4 linked regions of the Bombyx mori genome follow. The main gene of each other region encodes a partner of the protein of the gene in region 3 in a complex. Links are inferred from orthologs where the notes say so. Each region holds a gene or a part of one and is shown on either strand. Other genes may lie near its edges. The genes, in order: integrator complex subunit 9, integrator complex subunit 4, integrator complex subunit 1 and integrator complex subunit 7.

What was found.
Region 1: integrator complex subunit 1 (region 3) and integrator complex subunit 9 share a complex: the UniProt entries of both Homo sapiens proteins name them as parts of the integrator complex. The link is inferred for Bombyx mori from reciprocal best matches to the Homo sapiens genes INTS1 and INTS9.
Region 2: integrator complex subunit 1 (region 3) and integrator complex subunit 4 share a complex: the UniProt entries of both Homo sapiens proteins name them as parts of the integrator complex. The link is inferred for Bombyx mori from reciprocal best matches to the Homo sapiens genes INTS1 and INTS4.
Region 4: the proteins of integrator complex subunit 1 (region 3) and integrator complex subunit 7 are in contact, whole or in part, in a cryo-EM structure (PDB 8RC4), measured with the Homo sapiens proteins. The link is inferred for Bombyx mori from reciprocal best matches to the Homo sapiens genes INTS1 and INTS7. Residues at the interface, in NP_001073922.2 of Homo sapiens: Leu1378, Gln1381, Gln1382, Gly1385, Gln1386, Ala1389, His1429, Phe1430, Leu1431, Cys1433, Pro1434, Arg1437, Gln1438, Cys1440, Gln1441, Pro1476, Ala1479, Gln1480, Met1483, Leu1484, Gln1487, Arg1552, Pro1554, His1555, Leu1556, Glu1557, Glu1558, Pro1613, Ser1614, Gly1616; in NP_056249.1 of Homo sapiens: His150, Asp151, Leu187, Ala188, Thr189, Pro190, Val191, Lys194, Thr223, Ser224, Tyr225, Pro226, Ser227, Thr228, Asn262, Asp263, Pro264, Arg265, Lys266, Pro303, Tyr304, Gln349, Glu350, Cys352, Tyr353, His354, Asn355, Arg357, Ala360, Gln384.

Annotation. Positions count from the first base shown.
Region 1 is NC_085111.1:141,099-147,259, reverse strand, and holds the start of integrator complex subunit 9, read left to right. Parts: upstream 1-2,707; 5' UTR 2,708-2,998; coding exon 2,999-3,007; intron 3,008-3,700; coding exon 3,701-3,892; intron 3,893-4,509; coding exon 4,510-4,712; intron 4,713-4,902; coding exon 4,903-5,771; intron 5,772-6,161. UniProt on the Homo sapiens protein: Component of the integrator complex, a multiprotein complex that terminates RNA polymerase II (Pol II) transcription in the promoter-proximal region of genes.
Region 2 is NC_085121.1:12,651,471-12,657,170, forward strand, and holds part of integrator complex subunit 4, read right to left. Parts: intron 5,694-5,700; coding exon 5,518-5,693; intron 3,227-5,517; coding exon 3,034-3,226; intron 2,265-3,033; coding exon 2,090-2,264; intron 1,773-2,089; coding exon 1,567-1,772; intron 852-1,566; coding exon 729-851; intron 1-728. UniProt on the Homo sapiens protein: Component of the integrator complex, a multiprotein complex that terminates RNA polymerase II (Pol II) transcription in the promoter-proximal region of genes.
Region 3 is NC_085131.1:770,461-775,609, reverse strand, and holds part of integrator complex subunit 1, read left to right. Parts: coding exon 1-144; intron 145-708; coding exon 709-1,039; intron 1,040-1,480; coding exon 1,481-1,671; intron 1,672-2,213; coding exon 2,214-2,399; intron 2,400-2,936; coding exon 2,937-3,101; intron 3,102-3,969; coding exon 3,970-4,099; intron 4,100-4,386; coding exon 4,387-4,558; intron 4,559-4,656; coding exon 4,657-4,868; 3' UTR 4,869-5,149. UniProt on the Homo sapiens protein: Component of the integrator complex, a multiprotein complex that terminates RNA polymerase II (Pol II) transcription in the promoter-proximal region of genes.
Region 4 is NC_085129.1:14,680,912-14,685,562, reverse strand, and holds part of integrator complex subunit 7, read right to left. Parts: intron 4,428-4,651; coding exon 4,229-4,427; intron 2,448-4,228; coding exon 2,233-2,447; intron 1,216-2,232; coding exon 1,137-1,215; intron 1-1,136. UniProt on the Homo sapiens protein: Component of the integrator complex, a multiprotein complex that terminates RNA polymerase II (Pol II) transcription in the promoter-proximal region of genes.

The sequences.
Region 1 (6,161 bases), on a different chromosome or scaffold from region 3:
ACTTTTAAAAATCATCATATCGTTTACTTGGCAAATTCGAAGGACGAACTTGTCTTAGATTTCACCCATCTAAATCATATCATATTTGCACATAACAATATACCTACTTACTTCCCATTAAAGTATAAATTCTACAAATAAATAATACTCAACAATATTTAAAATAAAATGAGCCAAGAACGTTTATCGATAAAACCTGATAACATTGAAATCTTTTGTACAGCACTAAAGCCGCCATGTTTTGTGGCCAGATGACGTCACAGTGGCACGAAATTTTGGTTGACGTTTCATTTCCATAGGTTTCCTACTTCATTGGCTGCAACCACGGAATAGATCTATTCCGTGGCTGCAACAGTATCTCCCACTGTTTCCTAACTAGCTCCCTAGTCTCTGGTAGTTGGTTCAGTTGCTAATACTAATACTATTTTCCTAATGGAGAAATTGTGTTGATATGCCTTTTTTGTTATCGATGTGCTTCAGCTAAAAAGTAAAGAGAAAGCAGCGCTTGTGTATTGTTCGGATTACAGCAATGAAGTGGCGTCAGTCTGTGCTAACACTGCGAACTTGTCTGCTCTGTCGTCGTCTGAGGTTCACTTTGCCAAATTAAGAATCCGTATAATTAGTTTGCACCACTGAAGTATGAAACCTATCTATGGTTTGCACATGCATTTTTATAATGATCTGCTCTATTTGATTTGTAAGGCAGACAAGGCTATTGTCCATCAGGTAGAGAGCTGTGACGTTCTCTGATGACAACGGCGGTAAAGCAGCTGCGCACCGCTTTTTCCTGTACTAAATAGTCAGCGAAAGGTCCATAGAACATGTAGATGTAGTGAATTGTATTGGCATTCGTCACATTTGTTTTAATTTAATGCGGAATTATTTTCCTTATCATGAGGACTATATCTATATATATATAAAAATGAATTGCTGTTCGTTAGTCTCGCTAAAAGTCGAGAACGGCTGGACCGATTTGGTTAATTTTGGTCTTGAATTATTTGTGGAAGTCCAGAATTATTTGTGGAAGTCCAAGGTTTAAAAGGTAGATAAATATGAGAATGTTCGGAATTAAATAAAAATAAAAATTTTTGATGTGTCCCGCGTCGGACGGATTCCTTTTATTTGTTTTAAGTTTATTTTATACAAAAGTTTAGGTCTTTTATTTCTCGATTGAGGCACTACGAAGTCTGCCGGGTCAGCTAGTTATAATATAAAACCACGGATACCATATCACCACACGGATATAAATAAAATAAAATTCTTTTATAAACCGAATGCATGTATGTGTGTATGTACGTAGGCCTTTGACTGTATTCCTAACCTAGGTTTTTATGTTTAATAAACTCCGCATCCATTCACGGACCGGTTATTATTATTCGACTCGACTGTGTTATGTACTTACCTAGCGGTTGTACAGAGTTGTGTTTTTTTTATTGCTTGGATGGGTGGACGAGCTCACAGCCCACCTGGTGTTAAGTGGTTACTGGAGCCCATAGACATCTACAACGTAAATGCGCCACCAACCTTGAGATATAAGTTCTAAGGGTCTCAGTATAGTTACAACGGCTGCCCCACCCTTCAAACCGAAACGCATTACTGCTTCACGACTGAAATAGGCAGGGCGGTGGCACCGCCCGCGCGGACACACAAGAGGTCCTACCACCAGTAATTATGCAAATTATAATTTTGCGGGTTTGATTTTTATTACACGATGTTATTCCTTCACCGTGGAAGTCAATCGTAAACATTTGTTGAGTACGTATTTCATTAGAAAAATTGGTACCCGCCTGAGATTCGAACACTGGTGCATCGCTCAACACGAATGCACCGGACGTCTTATCGCTTAGGCCACGACGACTATTCTTACACTTACACTGTATACATATAAAATATATAATTACCTACAACAACGTAACAAATGTTGTGTACAATAATAGCATAACGGACTTGGATATGACTTCCCACCAACATAATTTATAATCTGAATTGACAAGTAGATAATCTAATTTTTATCACACTAAACTTGACTGGAATAACACTAGGTATATCTGCTATACAGTACAGTATAATAATAACAATGTATTTCATGGTTCATAATATATTACTTACCAAAGGTTTTACAAATAGCTTAATAAATAGACATACCCGATCCTGTGGACCGAACGGTAACAAGTCGACGTCGCTCTAAACACGTCATTACGGATCCTCCCGATTCATTATCGGTACTTTTAAGTACACACCTCAAGCACCGGTCACCGTCCTCGCCGAACCCGTCGCTTGTGACGAAGGGCTCGACGAGTAAATTAACCCATAGACATAGCACACTGAGTTTCTCTGCTCTTGCTAGGGCCAGTGTTAGCAATACTTCCGGTTTGAGCACCGTGAGTTCACCTACACGTTAGGGCGAAGCTGAAATAGCCTCTCACGGCTATCAGCATAGGTAGGAAAAAAAATGGACTAGAGAGTGATACGGCTAACTCTTTTTCCCGAGGAATGCAAATGCAACGAGTTTCATTGTTTCCGAATAACAAATTCAACGAATATGGAACCGTAGTACAAATTTTGTTAATTAATGAATTACATTTAATATCGTTTGTTTCATTTTACTTTTACACAACAGATATAACTCGTTTGTTACAAATATTTAGTTGTATGTATTGAATATGCTCCCTTTGCCTGTCGATTAAAACAATCAAATGCTTATCTGACAGATAATATCTGTAGGTAGGTAACTAGAACCTACCTACCTACATAATATAAATATATTTTGTTTAGCTATTTTGAAAGTACTTATGTACCTAATATTCATTTATTTCAATTAATGATGTTGTACAGTTATGTATTATCTATGCAATACACTGAATAAACGGTTCATCAAACCTAAGCAAAAATAATATTGAAGCCGGACAAATTGATAAAGCAGTTACTAATACATAAACATACTTTAGTAATAAACAATATTCGTCCGCAAATTCGAAATATAATATATAAACTAATAATGAAGCTTGTAAGTATGCAATATCTTCACTAATTTATTCAAAACACTTGAAAAATATGTAAGAGTTGAACTTGAAACACAAAATACAAAAATAATATTAGAATTCATACTATTAGAAGATTGTGTTAGAATTAAACCTGCAGGACGCGAAAACAAACCAAATTGCAGTGGAGTGCTCCATTTGCAAGTAGTTTATTAATATAGTAAATTATTTTACAAGAACAGCCCATACGTTTTTACTGTAATGATATCCTGGGTAGAGAGGCAGTCTCCCACATCCCCACAATTTTTACATACAATTTTGTTTAAGTGATTATTTCATAGCTTTTTGGGATATGAACCTAATACTAGAGACTAAAGGCACCACAAGATGAATGATACCTCTAAGAATTTGTCCCTCTCTTCTATTGAAGTATTGATTGCTTGGATCCAATGACTAACCAGTTAAATCGGAATGCATGATTGTGTCTGAACAGAAATAAGTAGAATGGTTTGAAATTGTCATAAATCATTCTATGTGTACTCTAAGATCACAGCTGTTATACAGGTACTATAGGGACAGAAAAATAGGTGTGGCTTTAAAATACCAGGATGGCTCCACTATTCTGGCATATCTGTTTAATTGAGCATTACCATATGGACCCCTGACTTATAAATAATATAACCAGTGCTTACCTTAAACAATGTTTGATTTGATTACAGTATTGTTTAAGCAATGATGCAGCGAAGCCTTGCTTTGTGTTGTCTTTCAAAGAGCTCCTCATAATGTTGGATTGTGGGCTGTCATCCCACTCTGTGCTCAACTTCCTACCGCTGCCTCCAGTGCCTAGCACTCGACTCGCATCCCTGCCTAATTACACACCACCACATCACAATGATCCACTCTTGGAAGGGGTATAAAAATTAAGCTTATTACATTTCTTATTATCATTATTTATATATCAGTACCTAGGTATAAAGTGGTTACTGGAGTCTCTGGTCATGACAACATTATTACCACCACCCACCTTGAAACATGAAGTTGAATTCTCAGTTGTATTGTATGATGGTTGTTCCATTCTTCAAACAAGAGGCAATCACAGCAAAAACAGACAGGATACTGAATCCACCACTAAATATGGTATAGTCAGTATGCTGCTTTAATACTCACAGAATGCTTATTCTCTGGTGAATCCATTAGGTACAGTCTTTAAGCAAAAAAACACATTTCATCAATTAATTATTTTATATACAAACATTAAATTAATAAAAAACTCAAAACTCCTCATTAAAATAATTTTTAAACTTATCCAACTGTATCTCTCAGTTACATTACACGTACCTTCCAAACTGCATTCAACAGATTTCTGATATAAAAAATCAAAGGGACTCATATTTTAAATCTGACTCCAATGCTATGATTAAAAACCCTATGTCAAATAAGTAATAACATGTTAAATTTAATGATATTTCTTTATAATAAAAACAGAATCAATATCAGGTGATATTTAAACTAACCCATCTCATTACAGGAACTAAAGGAGTGTTGCGGCAGAGTGTTTGTTGATAGCATGCCTGAGTTTTGTCCGCCTCTCGATAAAGTAGTCGATTTTTCTCAGCTAGATGTAATTTTAATCTCAAATTACACTTGCATGCTGGCCCTGCCTTTTATAACAGAAGATACAGGTTTCAAGGGCCAAGTGTATGCCACTGAACCTACTCTACAAATAGGAAGGTATTCATTCTCTATTCTTTTTATGCCTTCAAAAGTATAATGATAAAAAATATACATTTCTGTATTGTATATATGGTTATAGAGTATATAACAACACCATATTATTGTAAACAGAATATGCTTATTGAAAGTACAGTATCAGAATGGATTGAAGCAGCAGAAAGATGTAATAAAGATAATATATTTGGAGGTTCTACCTGGAGGAGCTGTCGGAGTGGGTGTGCTCAAGCGGGTCGGGGTCGGGCTCGGCCAAGCGTTGGAAGGAGGCGGTGCACGTGCTGCCCGCCCCCCTCGCCGACGTGGTGCGGCCCCGCGCGTGGCGCCGCCTGCTCGCCCCGCACCACGTCGCCCGCGCCCTCGCGCGCGTCCGCGTGGTCGGCTACGACGAGAAGGTCGACCTGTACGGCGCGCTCGACGCCACCGCCGTCAGCTCCGGCTTCTGTCTGGGCTCCGCCAACTGGGTGCTGCGCTCCGCCCACGAGAAGGTCGCCTACGTGAGCGGCTCCAGCACGCTCACCACGCACCCGCGCCCCATCAACCAGGCGGCTCTGCGGGGCGCCGACCTGCTGGTGCTGGCCGCGCTCACGCAGACGCCGGCGCACAACCCGGACCACATGCTGGGCGACCTGTGCGTGCACGCCACCGTCACGCTGCGCGCCGGCGGCTCCGTGCTGTGCCCCGTGTACCCCAGCGGCGTGCTGTACGACCTGCTGGAGTGCCTGTCGGCGCACCTGGACACGGCGGGGCTGGCGCACGTGCCGCTGTACGTGGTGTCGCCGGCGGCCGAGGCGTCGCTGGCCTACAGCAACATCCTGGCGGAGTGGGTGTCGGCGGGCAAGCAGGCGCGCGTGTACCTGCCCGAGGAGCCGTTCCCGCACGCGGCGCTGGTGCGCGCGGGGCGGCTGCGGCACGCGCGGGACCTGCACGACGACTCCTTCAGCGCAGACTTCCGCCAGCCCTGCGTCGTCTTCTGCGGACACCCCAGCCTGCGCTTCGGCGCCGCCGTGCACCTCGTCGAGCTGTGGGCCTGCAACCCGCTGCACGCCATCATATTCACAGGTACGCAGCCCGCTCTCCCGGCTCGATTATGGTTTAGGGGACAATTCCAACTGGTCGCGGACGAGTAAATGAGCACATGGGCTCTACCAGAAAGAATGTGCCAACACTAGTCCTAGCAATAGTAGTGTTTCGCAGAATCTACCACCGGGTCGGAATCGCAACCCAAGAAGTTGAAGGTACTCAATCTACCGCTGAGTTAGTAAACCTGGTAAGTGGGCGCCGCGCGAACTGAACGATCGTTCGCGCGACCAACGCGTCTAGGTGCCAAGGTACTTCTCTGTGTAGAAACGGAAGGGATTTTGAACCGCATTGTCACTTACAATGAAAAATAAATTCTTTTTAATAATCGTAAGCCGTCGCCCTGTTAGTTAGACCCTGCTTTAACCTTGG
Region 2 (5,700 bases), on a different chromosome or scaffold from region 3:
ACTTATATCTCAAGGTGGGTGGCGCATTTATGTTGTAGATGTCTATGGGCTCCAGTAACAACTTAACACCAGGTGGGCTGTGAGCTCGTTCACTCATTTAAGCAATAAAAAAAACTAATTCTTTTTCTCAGTCGTTTGCACTCTTGGGTGGTCGTGGTCATCAGTTCGGGTAGTGGAGCGCTTCATAAGACATCGCCATTCCTCGTGTACCGCGACCTTGTACAATACATACTTAAAAACATGAGTGGATGATTATGAGTTAAGTACCATTTTTAAGATTTTTGAGTTTTAACATTGAATGAAGGTGTTATGTGACAATAAAATATATTAGACCTTAAAACCCCTGGCATTAAAGGCAATTTTTAGATATTGCATGTGATGAAGTTATGTACGAAAAAAAAGTACAATTAACAAAAGTTTGTTGCCAAAGTTTATCATATGTCCTTCATCCATCATGTCTCAAATTATATGTATACGTTTAAATACATACATATTTAGATATTACACATCCAGACAAAGGGCACATAAACATATCCATCACACGAATGTTTGCCCGATGTGGGAATTGAACCCAAGACATTCTAGCCAGCACTCAGCATTAACTACTGTGCCAAGTCAGTCATTCACTAAAAGGAACTACTACAAAAACATACATCTCTTTCACATTGATGTTTATAATCAAAACATTACCCTAGTACTCTTATCAAGTAATTTAATAATAGCTATACCTGTGGATATCTTTTGAGATTCTCCAGAATTTTATCAATGCACATCTCCAGGCATGTTTTGGACGCGACTGTACACGAGCCCAGCAGTCTGTGTAGACCTTCCCTGACGTCCATTGAATAATCCTAAAACCAAAGTTCTATTATTTTCCAGTAAAAACTAAATTGCCCTTTTTCGTAGAAAGAGGTGAAGTTTGATGGTGGCAGATTTCTGTTTAGTTACTTAGGAAAAAAATTAGAAAATAACTTTCATTCTCTCTCTTTCTCTCGCCTTCTCTCTCTCTTTCTCTCGCCTTCTCTCTCTCTCTCTCTCTCTCTCTGCCATCAGGGAAAAGTGGTAATAGATGTCGTAGAGTCGCAGTTGTATTAATCACTGCTCCACCATCCATGAAAACGGAGCGCATGAGTTCTTCCTGAACAAACCAAGCAGGAGGGTGACTTGCGGGCTTCATAGCATCACAAGGACTGTGTGGCGACTCACTTACCCGCCACTTCATACCACTACTTGGGCAACCGCCTTTCAATTTTGGTAAAATCGCTGTCGCTTATGATTTTAGGCCAATCATACGCTATTTTTGTTCGGAACAGGTTCGGAGATGCTTCTTTACTTGCGTTTATTTAGAGTTACTTATGTGCTAATTTACCTATATTGTACATAAATCCAATCTTATATACAATATACGTAACCTAAAAGGCATAACAATATTCATTTTCTCTGTGCTACCTATCTTCCGAGTCAATGCCTAGACAATCTAGCCAGTTGAAGCAGCTTAACTACGGCTGCTCCTACAACTGTATTACAAATAGACTATTATCAGCTTCTAGTATCTCCGGGACTGACCTCCAAGGCTCCTAGTATGGTCTCCAGTAGGTCTTCTCTAAGTACGATATGATGCGAGATCCTCGTGAGGGCGTCGATGGCTCGCAGCCGCACTTCCTCGATCTCGTCATTGAACATGTCCACCAAAAAGTCGAGGGAGGTGGTCGCGAACACCGGGTTTTCTAGTGAGAGTTGACACAATGCTTCGACGGCTGCCGTGCGCACCTCTGGGAACATAAAGAACAATTAGAACAAATTATTACGTTGAAAACAATAATTAAATTCGATTATAAAAAATATTGTAAATCTTACAAGCCTTTATTTGTTATAGAAAAATTGATTAAATTTTATCACTTTGGGGTTTCTGAAAATATACTTTTTTTTAAATAAAGCCTGCGATGCTTAATATGTTATTGTCATCTACAGGAGCAATGAAAAACTAATCGAAGCGTAGCCATCTAGTGGCCGACGCCCATAAACATTTTTGTTGAGTGCTTGAGTTGCTTATCTATAACTAAATTATGTGTATTATCTATGCTCTGACCCATGAGTTCGTCCTCGAGTCCGTGCACAAAGGCGCCGGCCGCCCCGCCCGGCAGCAGCTGCACGGCGGCGGACGGCACCAGCGCGCCGGGCGCGTCGTCCGCCCAGCGCCGCCCGCTCGCCCACGCGCCGCTGCGGACCAGCTCCGCGCCGCGCTCGTGTGCTGTGCGCTTTTTCTGTATTATATTCAATTTACACTATAATTAAATGTGAATTAGATATGAGATAAAGCTAATGAGACCAAGGAAGGCTGCTTCCATGATCACGGTACAAACGCCACGCATATGCCTGGTGTTTTAACAAATAAATCACATTAAGACGTGGTCGAATTGACACGCGATATAATGATATTATGAATATAATGATATCAAATACGCCAGAATGAATGAGTACAATCAAAGACTTAATTGCGTTTTCTGTAATATAAATAAGAAAACAACATTTAAAGCCCTTAATCTGTATTTAAATTAATATTTTAAGCAGTATTATTATACTACTAGCTGTACCCGTCCGCTTCGCTAGGCATTTAAAATTAATATTATTATTTCTCACCCTCCAAAAAGATTCTTATCATTAACGCCCCCACAACTGGTGTAGGGAGTCCAACGCTCATATAAATATTAGCCTATCCATTAAGTACATGTATTTTCTACATGGATACCAAGTTTCAAGTCAATCGAATATATGGTTCAGTAATTATAACGGAACATCCGTAAAAGCCACTATAGATTTATAGATATAGATGCAAAACTGAACAAGTCACTTCATGGAATGACAGGTGAGTGCTTCCGTGCTCAGAAAAATCTAAAAAACTAAAAGAGCTTTAAAGGTTTTTCTTTACATGAATATTATAAGCGTTTTTGTGTGCGTTTCTAATCCATATAATGTCTGAACATATTTAAATGTGTATTTCAATGGTATATTTAGTGTTGGTTCCGTAATCACCTTCATGTTACTCATTAGTTGTTTATCGAGGGTCTGCAACAGGAAGCGATCGGAAACGGCGCGCGTGGTGCCGAGCAGCGTGCAGGCGAGCGCTCGCACTTGCATGCATAGATCGTTCACGGCCGAACATATGCGAACAAAAGCGTCATCGACCATTCGTATCGTGGTCTCGTCATCTTGTAACGTTATTACACTGAAAATAACAAAAAAAAAATCCTCAAATTCATTGTTCTGAGATGTATTGGAGAGGCACACATTATATATTTTGTTGTTGTTGTTTTGTTTATTGTTGGGTTTGTAATTGTGATTAAACAATTATCACTTACATACGAATCTATATACGATTAAGATTATTTCACTTAATTATAATCAATTAATAATAACATTAAAAAACGTTTGAAATAGAACTTAAAAGTTATGGTGATCATGAATCATGTAAACAATGTAAGACTTTTATTGCAAAGAAAGTCAATAACATTATTTAAAAAAAAAAACGAGTGTTGTTTTACATACTTTTTGACTATAAAAATAAACTCTCCTGGTGGCTCTCGAAGGGAGCGACAGTCTGGCAGACTTTTAAAATATTTTATATATACTTATTTATTTACTGAAATTTTTTATTCTTATTTACTTTTAATAAAAAAAAGTTGCCGACATATTAACTTTATTACAATTGCTTAATTAACACTAGATTTACCAGACCAGTCATTTTGACTGGTCGTGCAACTTCAATTCAAAATGACTACTACATTAAATATTTGCTTTCCAAATTGATGTTATAACTTTTGTAGGTATAAGTAGAGAATACATTTTATGAACTTAATTTTACTTTATATAATGTTAGTAACAAATATATTTTTTGTTATAACTATTTATACCAGAACCAGTCAAAATGACTGGTGCATGTTTCTAGGAAGAAATGTATGATTTCGGGAGAATCATGAGACCGTGAAAATACAAATAGTGCCCATGCTTCTTTTGTTCATTACGTTATCGTTATCGAGCCGATTTAGGCGATTACGGTATCTATACGATTTTTTTACGAGTACTTAGTCCAAGCGATCTCCAAACGTAATCATTCATCTTTACCCATACAGTGACACGTAATAAACATTTATGAGTATTTGAAAAATATTCAAATATATGTTGTTCAGCAAGTAGCCTGCATATCCTTAGCCCCTAAAAATGTCAAAACGAAAATTTGTACAGAGCTAGAAGCCTCTCGAGTTTTGGGGAAAACCTGGATAATCACGCAAGAAAAATTGAAGGCATTTCTTGTAATATTGTACGCACGTGGGGCATACGAAGGAAATACTTTGAGACTTCAATATTTGTGGAATAAAAAATGGGGACCATCATTTTTTTCTAGCACTATGAGTAGACGAGATTTTACAGATATTTTACGATACATTCGGTTCGATAAAAGAAATCAGAGGAGTCAACGTTTGCAAACAGACAAGTTCGCTTTAGTCTCAGCAGTTTGGGATAAATTTATTGAAAACAGTCAAAATTGCTTCAAACCGGGAGCTTCTATTACTGTGGATGAGCAACTTTTTCCAACGAAGGCCAGATGCAGATTTACTTAGTATATGCCAAACAAACCCCATAAATTTGGCATCAAATTTTGGTTAGCGTCTGATGTAGAAACAAAATATGTGGTAATAAAAAAGTACTTTTACTAAGTACAAAACATAAAAACATCAAAATTGATAAAGCAGCTAAAAAATACCTGAAACTGTATTGTTTTATAATAAAACTAAATTTGGCGTCGATGTGACTGATCAAATGGCACGAAAATATACGGTGAAGTCTGGTTGCAGAAGGTGGCCACTTCAAGTGTTTTTCAATATTTTAGATTTAGCCGGAATAAATAGCTGGATATTATACAAAAACACAACAGGAAAATATCTCACGGAAAGACTTTCTGTTTCGATTAGCAGAAGAACTTGCTTCAGAATATCAGACTTCAAGGCAAAAACTACACGAAGCTGATATATCAACTACCGCTGGCACGGTTTCTGTGCGCAAATGGTGTCAAATACGATATTGCAATAACAATAAGACTACAAATATTTGCAATAAATGCAAGAAAAGTCTATGCGGAAAGTGTACAAAAAGCAAAATCTACATCTGTAGAAATTGTGAGCGATAAACTGTAAAAATTAAGTGTTTTGTTATTTGAAAATGTCCATAAATCCATTTTTGTATAAAAATTTATATTGTTGAATTCTTTTTACCATTTTTTAAGAGTGAATAAAGACTGGAAACTCAGTTAAGCATTTTTTTATACACCAGTCATATTGACTGGTTATGGTAGAAATACGTATATTTAAATGGCTGGTAAATCTAGTGTTAAAGATGGTGGGCATTCAAATGTGCAATCTATTATTCTACAAACTTTAGGTAATAATAGCTTTACAAGTTAGTGTGTGAACTAATAAATTTAAAATTAAAGAATAAAAAAAAAAAAATTAGAGTACTTACTTTTCTGGGTATTTATTTCCAAGTACCCAAATCAACTTTAGGGCAACTTCTCTTACTATTTCATAGTCATCGGACAGAGCAACACAAACATGTTCGTACAAATTAGATCCTAAGATCTGTCCTCTTTGATGAAGTGTTAACAGTGCTTGAAATGCTTCACAACGCACTCTGGCATCCTAAATT
Region 3 (5,149 bases):
GCAGCTGATGTTCCGCGCGGGAGGGGGGGCCGCGGGGGGCAGCGTCGGCGGCAGCTGGCGCCCCCTGCTGGTGACGCTGTTGGCGCACCGGGCCTCCTGGCGCACCCTGCACACCTGCCTCACCATGCTGCTCGACCACCCAGGGTATGCGGCTGCACTCGCTGCGACCCTCGCTAACTATTCAATCACCAAAACAATAATTAAAGACCTTATTGCTAAGGCAAACTCTTCCCATTATGTAGAGGAAGAATTGCAGACAAAAAAGATGCTGGTGTTCGGTATATAAAATATCAACAATAGCTACAAGTCAAATCTAAAAGTGTACAATTCCCAAAAATATTCGAAATTGAGTTAATATGCGGAATCATTTGGTATCACCAGTATTTTTCTCATAAATACTGTCAAAAGAGCGTAGTTTAGTTTTAGTTTTATTTTTTTTAGTTTACCTATATTTTGACTATTAACAAAATTAATACATAATTTTATCTTACTTTAAAAGACAGATAGTGTAACTGGTAAAAACTAAAAAATAAATGTTGCAAAGATGATTAATATTAAAAATATAATATGTTAAACCTATAAAACACTCTCCTGTAAAATTTAGCAAGTTTTAATGCGAGAAGACGATATTAACAATAATGTGCAGTATATAGTTTAGTTGTGAGTAGGTTCAGATATGTATATGTTTGTGGTACTGTGTGTGCGCAGGGACTGGGCGCCGGGCTCCGTGCTGAACCTGCTGGAGACGCTGTGCAGCTCGCCGCGGCTGTGCCAGGGCCGGGACAAGGCCGCGCCCAAGCACCACCAGCCGCCCGACGCGCTGCGCCTCACGCACCGCCAGGTCGGCGTGCTGGTGGGCTACATCGTCAGCGAGGGGGTGCGCGCCGAGCGGGGCGGCGGGGAGGCGGCGCTGCGCCGGCGCGTGGAGGCGCGCCTGCCGCTGCTGCTGCGCTGCTGCGCCACGCCCCCCGCGCTGCTGGCCGCCGCCCGCGCCGCCGCGCACCACCACCCAGTGCTGCTGCTCATGCTCTATCTCAAGGTGCTCAACCTGTACCTATGTAACGGATTTTTTCAAAGTAGTGAAGTCATCGTGGCCTAAAGAATAAGACGTCCGGTGCAATCGTGTTGAGCGATGCACCGGTGTTCGAATCTCAGGCGGGTACCAATTTTTCTAATCAAATACTTACTTAACAAATGTTCACGATTGACTTCCACGGTGAAGGAAACGTATTACCGCTTCACGGCAGAAATAGGCAGGGCGGGTTCGTCGTGCGTCCATTATTTTCTGTTACTCATTTATTCTATAATTAATTTGGGAAACAAATGATAAAGTTAGGCTTAACAAAGAACAAACAAGTTTCAACCTTCAACAACATAATATAAAATCAAATAACTGGCTTACCATTACAAATAAGTATTTGTCGATAGAAAATCATGCTTTTATGACGTCATTGAAATGTTTAATAATCATTGAGTGTAGGTTCCGAAGACAGCCGAGCTGCTGCGTCGCGCGGAGTCTCGCGGCGGGCGGGGGCCGGGCGGCGGGTTGGGGGGCGGGGCGGGCGCGGGCGCGGCGCGATGCACGCCCAGCGCCACGGACCAGCCCACGCACACGCTGCTCACCGCCATCACCGCGCCGCACCACGCGCACACCAAGGAACACACGCAGAAGTATTATAACCGTACTAACGCTCTCTCGTGTCTCTGAGAGACATGCGGACTTACAGAAGTTAAATTAGAAATCTTGAAATAAAATTTAATCTGTGAGCTTAATCCGTTCACATGCGCCGTTGGTAGTAAACCGGGCTCAAAGCGGCGCCCCGCACAACTGAGCATTCGCAACATCACAAACTGGGACGAGTAATGCTAGTAGTGTCTGTGTTTTATACTAACATGGCAGATAATCAGTCAGGCCAGAGGGTCTGTCTGTAAGGTGTGAAACAGCTTTTTTTTATTGCTTAGATGGGTGGACGAGTCCACAGCCCACCTGGTCTTAAGTGGTTACTAGAGTCCATAGACATCTACAATGTAAATGCGCCACCCACCTTGAGCTATGAGTTCTAAGGTCTCAAGTATACTTACGACGGCTGCCCCACCCTTCAAACCGAAACGCATTACTGCTTCACGGCAGAAATAGGCGAGGTGGTGGTACCTACCCGCGCAGACACAAAAGAGGTCCTACCACCAGTAAACTAACTTGCGTTGGTTCCCAGGCTATGGCGCATGGAGGCCGACATCCGCTCAATGTGGGCGCGCGTGGAGGGTGCGGGAGCTAGAGCCTTGCCCCTGGCCGGAGCCCTACTGCGCGGGGCCGGCGCCCTGCACGCAAAGCAACATCAGTACCTACTCTCCGCACTCGAAGTGTTGCCAGACTCGGAGATATTTGCACCCGCTGTGAGGTATATGATCTGTGTAATTAGGGTTGCTATTTTTAAAACAAATATTTTTATTTAACAAACACCCCTCTAGTTGAATACCAGCCTTGTTAGATATAAAGTCAATTAAAAATAAAAAGTTGATGAGAACATGGAGTAGAAACTCCAAGCTATAATTAAATAAAGTTTTCAAACAAAGACAAACAGAATTTATTTGTAAACTTTTTCTTTCACATTTATCATACTGTGAAACGGTTTTTTTTTTTTTTTTTAAATTCAATACCGCAAATACTGATGATGTTGCCGAAGACAGAGCGCAGTGAAGGAGAAAAATAAGGGAACCTGATCCCCTACTTCTCTGTGGAAGGAACAGCTAGAAAAAGAAACAGATAAATAGTTTGATTTATTTTAATTGTAGGTAATAAATAAAGGCACAATTTCTCGTACGTTATTATTACTTAGGTCATGTTGTGTGATACTCCAGTGTAAATATAGGGCCCATATTAATTATATACTACATATTTTTTTAACAGTGTGATTGCAGTAACGTATAATTTACAGCGAGGAGATCCACAGCATCCTGGAGTGCTTCGTGCAGATGGTCCGTCAGACGGAGGGCGGGTCGAGCGCGCTGAGCCACCGCGTGGCCGCCCTGCTGCGCCGCTACCTGGCCTGCCGCCCGCCGCGCGCCGCCCTGCTGCTGCACCAGCACCGCGACGCCATCGCGTGAGTCGCCGCCCACACACACGTCACCACCTACATACCGCATACAGCCGGCCATTCAAAAATACATGTGTGCCATTCACACGTGGTAGAAGTGAAACCTTAAAAAATTCAAATACAATTATTATCCTAAATGTCTAAGTATATGTAAAATTTTGTCATTAGTAAATAATTGTAAATCATCTGTTATATAGTATGAGGTATAATTGTAAATTATCTGTTATACAGTATGAGGTAGCGCCCTCTGTGAATTGATATTTTAACTTCACGTATAATCCTAAATTTAAATTCACTACAAGAGGTTTCATAAACACGTTAGTATTAAAAAAGGGTGCGTGTACTTATGTACGCGCGTAAGAAGTTATACTTTATTTTTATAATTTTTTTATTTAAGTTTTAATCAATTTGAAAAAAAATCGATTAAACAACATCCTCAAACACGCATATTGGACATCATCCCTTTTCTTGACATCGTATAAATTCGGTAATTCTCTGTATGCTTCAGAAAGTTCACCTGCGGCTATATTCAGACCCGCCGAGTTACGTCGGTCGTATTGTAATGAGCGATTTAGTGGGCAACTTCATTTCTGTTAATTTTGTGTCACGGTGCGCGCGCATCGGTAAATTTCACTCTCATAAATTTTCATAACGCGTCTAAAGAAGTATAACTTCAAAAATCTCATAGATGGCGCTGTATTAAAAAAACACTACACTGAGAACGTGTGTTCTATCTCATTCTCTCGCCGGCTGAATCCTATACGTTTATGTGTTTGTGTTTCTATGGACTTATTTTTTCGTTTCATTGAGTTTGAAATCATAACGGTTCTAAAGAAGTTTGACTTCAATTAATGAAACGTACTTGTTGTGACAGCTCGTCCCCCGCCCTGAGCGGCGTGTCGGAGGGCGAGGGAGGGAGCGGCAGCTGGAGTCCTCCTCCGCACGCCGTGCGCGCGCTGCAGCGCCGCTCCGACCCGCCCGACACGCTGCACTGGCTGGTGCAGGTAACCGTCGCACTATATGCTAGACAGCTCACACCCCACTGCAAATATTGCGGTGCTTCAAACTAGACTACCCAACTAATTTGAGTCTAAAATAGATCTAATTATACTTTTTATTGCCTTTGTAAGCATACGGCCCACCGGGTAGTAAATGGTTACCGTCGCTCATGGACATCAGCAATGCCAGGAGTACAGCCAAGTCGCTGCCTACCTTTACTCATAAACTAATTCGAGAAGTCAAAATTGATATGTCAAGAAGCAACAAATGTCTGTAGAGTGTTGTTGTGCAGGAGGTGGAGGCGTGGGGCGCGCGGCGTGGCGGGGGGTGGGGCGGCGCGGAGAGCGCGGGGGGCGTGCTGCGCGCCGTGGCGCCGCTGGCCGCGCACGCGCACGCGCCGCTGCGGCTGGCCGCGCTGTCGCTGCTCGCCAGGCTGCTGCCGGCCGCGCCCGACCCCGCCCCGGGTGCGTAGCGTCGCCGTACCACACGATACTGTTCTGTGCTTCAGAACAAATGTCGTGTCCGCCAAAGAGTTGAAATCAAACGTCCATTTTAATTTCAGCCTTCGAAGCAATAATGGAGTGTCTGGAATGTGACCAAGCGGAAATAGCGCAGTCTGCCCTGGAGAAGCTCCCGGAGCTGGTGGTGGGCATGCAGGAGTACGCCGCCGCGCTGCTGGCCGCCGTCTTCGACCTGGGAGTCCGCGGGAGACTCAACGTGGAGACGCACCTCGCCAAGACCATTCAGACGCTGAACCTTCACCGGGCCTGCTAATATATTATATGCTAATTAATACATTTTGTTCCGATGTTCTCAATCTGGATTAAAGCAGTTTGGGTGTTCTGTGCGACTTTAGCATGGCGGTTGGACACCAGAATGATTACTTTCATCAAGAGTCAATATTACTGACTATGTACAGTCAATTGTAGGGACAATTGTTCCTATTACCCTATTAAGACCCGTTTAGCATGGAGATATTTATAAGAATTATAGTATTGTTCTAAATAAAGTAGGCTACTTACGCGCAAACTTAATTCTATAGATATGTAGATTTC
Region 4 (4,651 bases), on a different chromosome or scaffold from region 3:
GGCAGTACGGTAGTACTGTTACCTAATATGCCTCTCAATAATAATGCAGACTAAGACATTCCTGAATGCATCGTCATTATATAAAGACGATTTATTGTTAAAACGCCGCAGAACAGAATTAGCTCGAGTAGCGGAAACACACATCGTTTGTACTATTTCTTTTATAAAATAAATTGAATGTCAGTCACAGTTTCCTTTTGTTTTTAAAGAGCTCCTGGATCCATCTCGTAACAGTACCTCTTCATGGAGGCACAAAGCGTGTCCCAGTAAACTGAACCGTAATACATACACTTCCTTAGGAATTACTACTATTAGACTACAGACGTCCATTGCTGGACAGAGGCTTCCCCCAAACCTCGCCACGACTGGTTATGCACTGCTTGCTTCCAGCGGATCTCCGCGAACCTCAATAGCTCCTTTGTCCATCTTGTGGGAGGCCTACCCACGCATTTTTTTTTCATACCTAAGCTGATGGTTTTGAGAAACCATATCACCGTCACCGGGCTAGTAGGTGAGCTCACGGGGCTCAAACCTGACGTTTTTGCTAACACGAACCCTAGCAAGAGCCGTGCTTCGCAGAATCTACCACCGGATCGGAAACGCGACCCACTGAGAAGATCCGGCGAGAAACTCAGTGGGCTGTCTGTGGATTAATTTACTTGCCGAGCCCTTCGTCGCAACCGACAGGTTCGGCGAGAACGATGACCGGATCCACGCTACGCTTAGTATTTGTGGAGTACGAGAAAGCCTTTGATTCGATTAAGACCTGGGCCGCGTTGCAGTCTCTCCAACGGTGCCAAATTGATTACCAGTATATCGAAGTGTTGAAGTGTTTGTATGAATACGCTACTATGTCAGTCCGATTACAGGACGGGGCATTGGAACCCATCCTTCTGCAGCGGAGAGGCAGAGAGATGTTGTTTTTCCGAAACCATTTACCACCGCATTGGAGAATGCTTTCAAAGTTCTGGACTGGAACGGGCTAGGCATCAACATACAACTCCCCTTCGGGTTGTCGACGATATTGTAATTATGGCTGAAACCTTAGGTGATCTACAATGCTCGAAGACCTCAGTAGAGCCTCTATCCGAGTGGACCTTAGGAATTAATTCGTGGTATAACAATGTAATCAGTACCTTCTCGTTGGTCCTCGGATGCTGGGTGGCGGTCACCGTGATTTGGACGCCTTTAACTTGTCGCTGCTGCTGACGTTTGCTGTGAGATACATATCGACGGGTAAACAGCTATTTGGTTTAAGCGATATTCTTGAAACTTTCCAGGAGAAACATGCAGTTTAAATTTAAAAAAAAACACGACATAAAAACTTTTTCAGCTATTTGAATGGAGTAAACTTTTAGATGTGTGGACGAGCTCACAGCCCCTGGTGTTAAGTAGTTATTGAAGCCCATAGACAACCACATCGTAAATGCGCCACCCACCTTGAGATATAAGTTCTAAGGTCTCAATATAGTTACAACGGCGGCCCCACCCTTCAAACCGAAACGCATTACTGTTTCGCGGCAGAAATAGGCAAGGTGGACCACCACCGACCGTGCGGACTCACAAGAGGTCCTACCACCAATAAAGTCGTCTTCCTACAGGCGCAATAAAGAAAAAAAAAAAAAAAAAAAGCAAACACGTTCAGTAATTTCGGGGGTGTCGGCAAACAAACAAACAGACAGATAAATAACTACGCTGCAAGCTTCCGCGCCGGTTCCTAGCACTGTCTGCGGTTTTTGTTAGACGTTGATATACCTAATTTAAACCGTTTTACTGTTTAATCTCGCATTTTTGTTAACATTGAATTATTTGTTAATGTCACTACATTACTGTGAGTGTTTTAAACGCGTGAACGAACATGTGACATATCGTCGTTGTCAAACCAAAATCTGCTATGTGAACTTTTAGAGATTTTTACTTTTTGAACTTTTCGTATAGTTCACGGCCCTATCTACCGTATAAAAAAACTGTTATATGTCTATAGCTTTAATATTTATCTATAGCTTTTAATTGATATAGTTCTTAAAAATTCACCTTCATATAAAATTGTATACGAAAATGTTTTTACTCGTTAATACAAAACAGAGTTTTGGCACATAGCAGATTTTGGTTTGACAGTGACGATTTGATAAACGCGGGAACAAGTCGTACAGGGAGTTACATTTATGTGTAAGTTTCCGTTCTACATCCCCCCCCTTGTGTTTATGTAGTTATGTAGATGCGCGGACTCACGCGAGCGGGCGCGCGGGCAGTATGACGCCCTCCAGCTTGAGCGCCAGGCGGTGGGACAGCGGCAGCGCGGCGGCGTGGTCCGCGGGCGCGGGCCGCCACGCCGGCGACACGGACACGCGGCACACGGCGCCCGTGCCGCGCCCCGACCACGCACCCCGGGACCACACCGCGCCCGCGCCCGCCGCCCGCACTGCGCACACCACCGCCTCCGCGTGCTGCACACTCGCCTCGGTCAGTGATCATTACGGATCCTCCCGATCCACTAACGGTGCTTTTAGGTACCTTAAGCACCGGTCACCGTCCTCGTCGAAGCCGTCGCTTGTGACGAAGAGCTCGACGAGTAAATTAACCCACAGACACAGCCCCCTGAGTTTCTCGCCGAATCTTCTCAGTGGATCGCGTTTCCGATCCGGTGGTAGATTTCGCGAAGCACTGCTCTTTCTAGGGCGAGTGTTAGCAACACTCCGGTTTGAGCCCCGTGAGCTCATCTACACGTCAAGGAGAAGCTGAAATAGCCTCTCAAGGCTATTAGAATAGGTAGGAAAGAAAACAAGGTGAGTGACACGACAGAGCCCAGGGGTATGTCCCGATTTGGTGATTACAATTGAAGACATGAGTGGATGAAGGGGTTAAGTACCATTTTTAAGATTTTTAAGTTTTTACATTGAACGAAGGTATTATGTGCCGATAAACCATATTAGACCTTAATATCCGGGTTTAAGGCTATTTTTAGAAATTGCATGTGATGAAGGAGTTATGTACGAAGAAAAAGTACAAGTAACAAAAGTTTTTTGCCCGTTTACTAAAAATTAATAAATTGTATCATATCCCCTTCATCCACTCATGTCTACAATTATAACCGTGCCTACAAGTCTGCCAGTACCCTCTGTCTTCACCTTCGACTTGTGGCCGTGCTCACGGGGCTCGCCCTGAAATAGGTTGTCAACACTGCCCCTAGCAAGCGCAGTGCCTTACTATATCTTTTTTTATGATTGAAGTACTACTGGTGGCCCGGAGGCCTTTCCAGTTTCACCAGGACAGGTGGGTGAGCATAGGCTCAGCCAGGAGGGGTAGGAATTGCTAACAGCTGCCCGAGCACCTCCGAAGGAGACCTAACAACTCAAGAACAACTGTTTCGCGAATGAATCTACTACCGGATCGGAATCGCGACTCGCTTAAAAGATCCGGCGAGAAGTTCAGCGGACTGATGTATGAATTAAGTTGCACGTCGAACTCTTGTCTTTGTCGAGTTCGACGAGTACGGTTACAGGAGTCCTTAAGTTAGCCTTTAGCGTTAGAGCTGAAGGCGTCTAATGCAAAGGTTATTGGATCTGATGGATCCGTAAGGACGTGATTGTATCTACCACCATATGCGTGTACGGGTATAAGCTAATCCTTTCTTCGAACATAGCCGCTTCGTAGCAGAAATAGGCAGGGTCTGTTCTCAACCCGTGCGTGCAATACTTTCGACTACCAGTAATTGCCCGTTGCTCCCTCCCACTACACTCCTTAGAGGACACAGGCGGAGCCAATCTAAGCTGACACCTCTTTTTTTATTGCTTAAATGGGTGAGATAGGACATCTACAACGTAAATGCCGCCCACCCACCTCGAGACATGAGTTCTAAGTTCTCCGTTTTTACAGTACAACGGCTGTTTCACTGTTCAAGCGGAAACGCATTACTGCTTCACGGCAGAAATAGGCAGGGCGGTGGTACCTACCCGTGCGGACTCACAAGACGTCCTCACACCAGTAAATTCCTTAATTTAATTTTTGTATGTGTAATTGTATTCAGTGACTCAAAGATATACAAATATACATTTAAATAAATTGATATTATATTCAACGCCCACACAAAAAAGCAGGTAAACGTATTCGTGACATGAACGCTCGCTAGAGGTGGAGATTGAACCCAAGTCTGCTCCAACAGTGGCAGACGATACAATACCCCCAATGTTGGGGCCACCTAGGAGTGTCCGAAAGAGTAAGTGCCTACCCTGTGTGTGATCCCGGGTGTGGTCATGGGGAATTCGGCAAGCTTGCTCGCTATGGCCGCGATGGCCTTGCTGGGAGACAGCGCCACGGCCTCGTCTAGGCTGGTGGCCCGCGGCTCCGGCAGCGTGAGCTCGCGCTCCGGCTGGCTGCTGGCGATGGAGTCCAGCAGCTGCGACAGCTGCGTGTACGTGTGCTGCGAGCTGGTGCGCCGGCTCAGGGTCTTATTGTGCAGTACGAGAACGCGTAACGGCAGACAGTAATAGGACACTCCGCGGAATTAAAGACGATTAAAAATATTCATTAACGCGTGAATAATACGGTGTACTTTCTCGTGACGCTTGTGGCAACAGTGTCTTAACGTAATTTTGTATTTTGACCATCTCAGTAACTTTTATTGATTTTCCGATCCGCCCATCTCAATTTA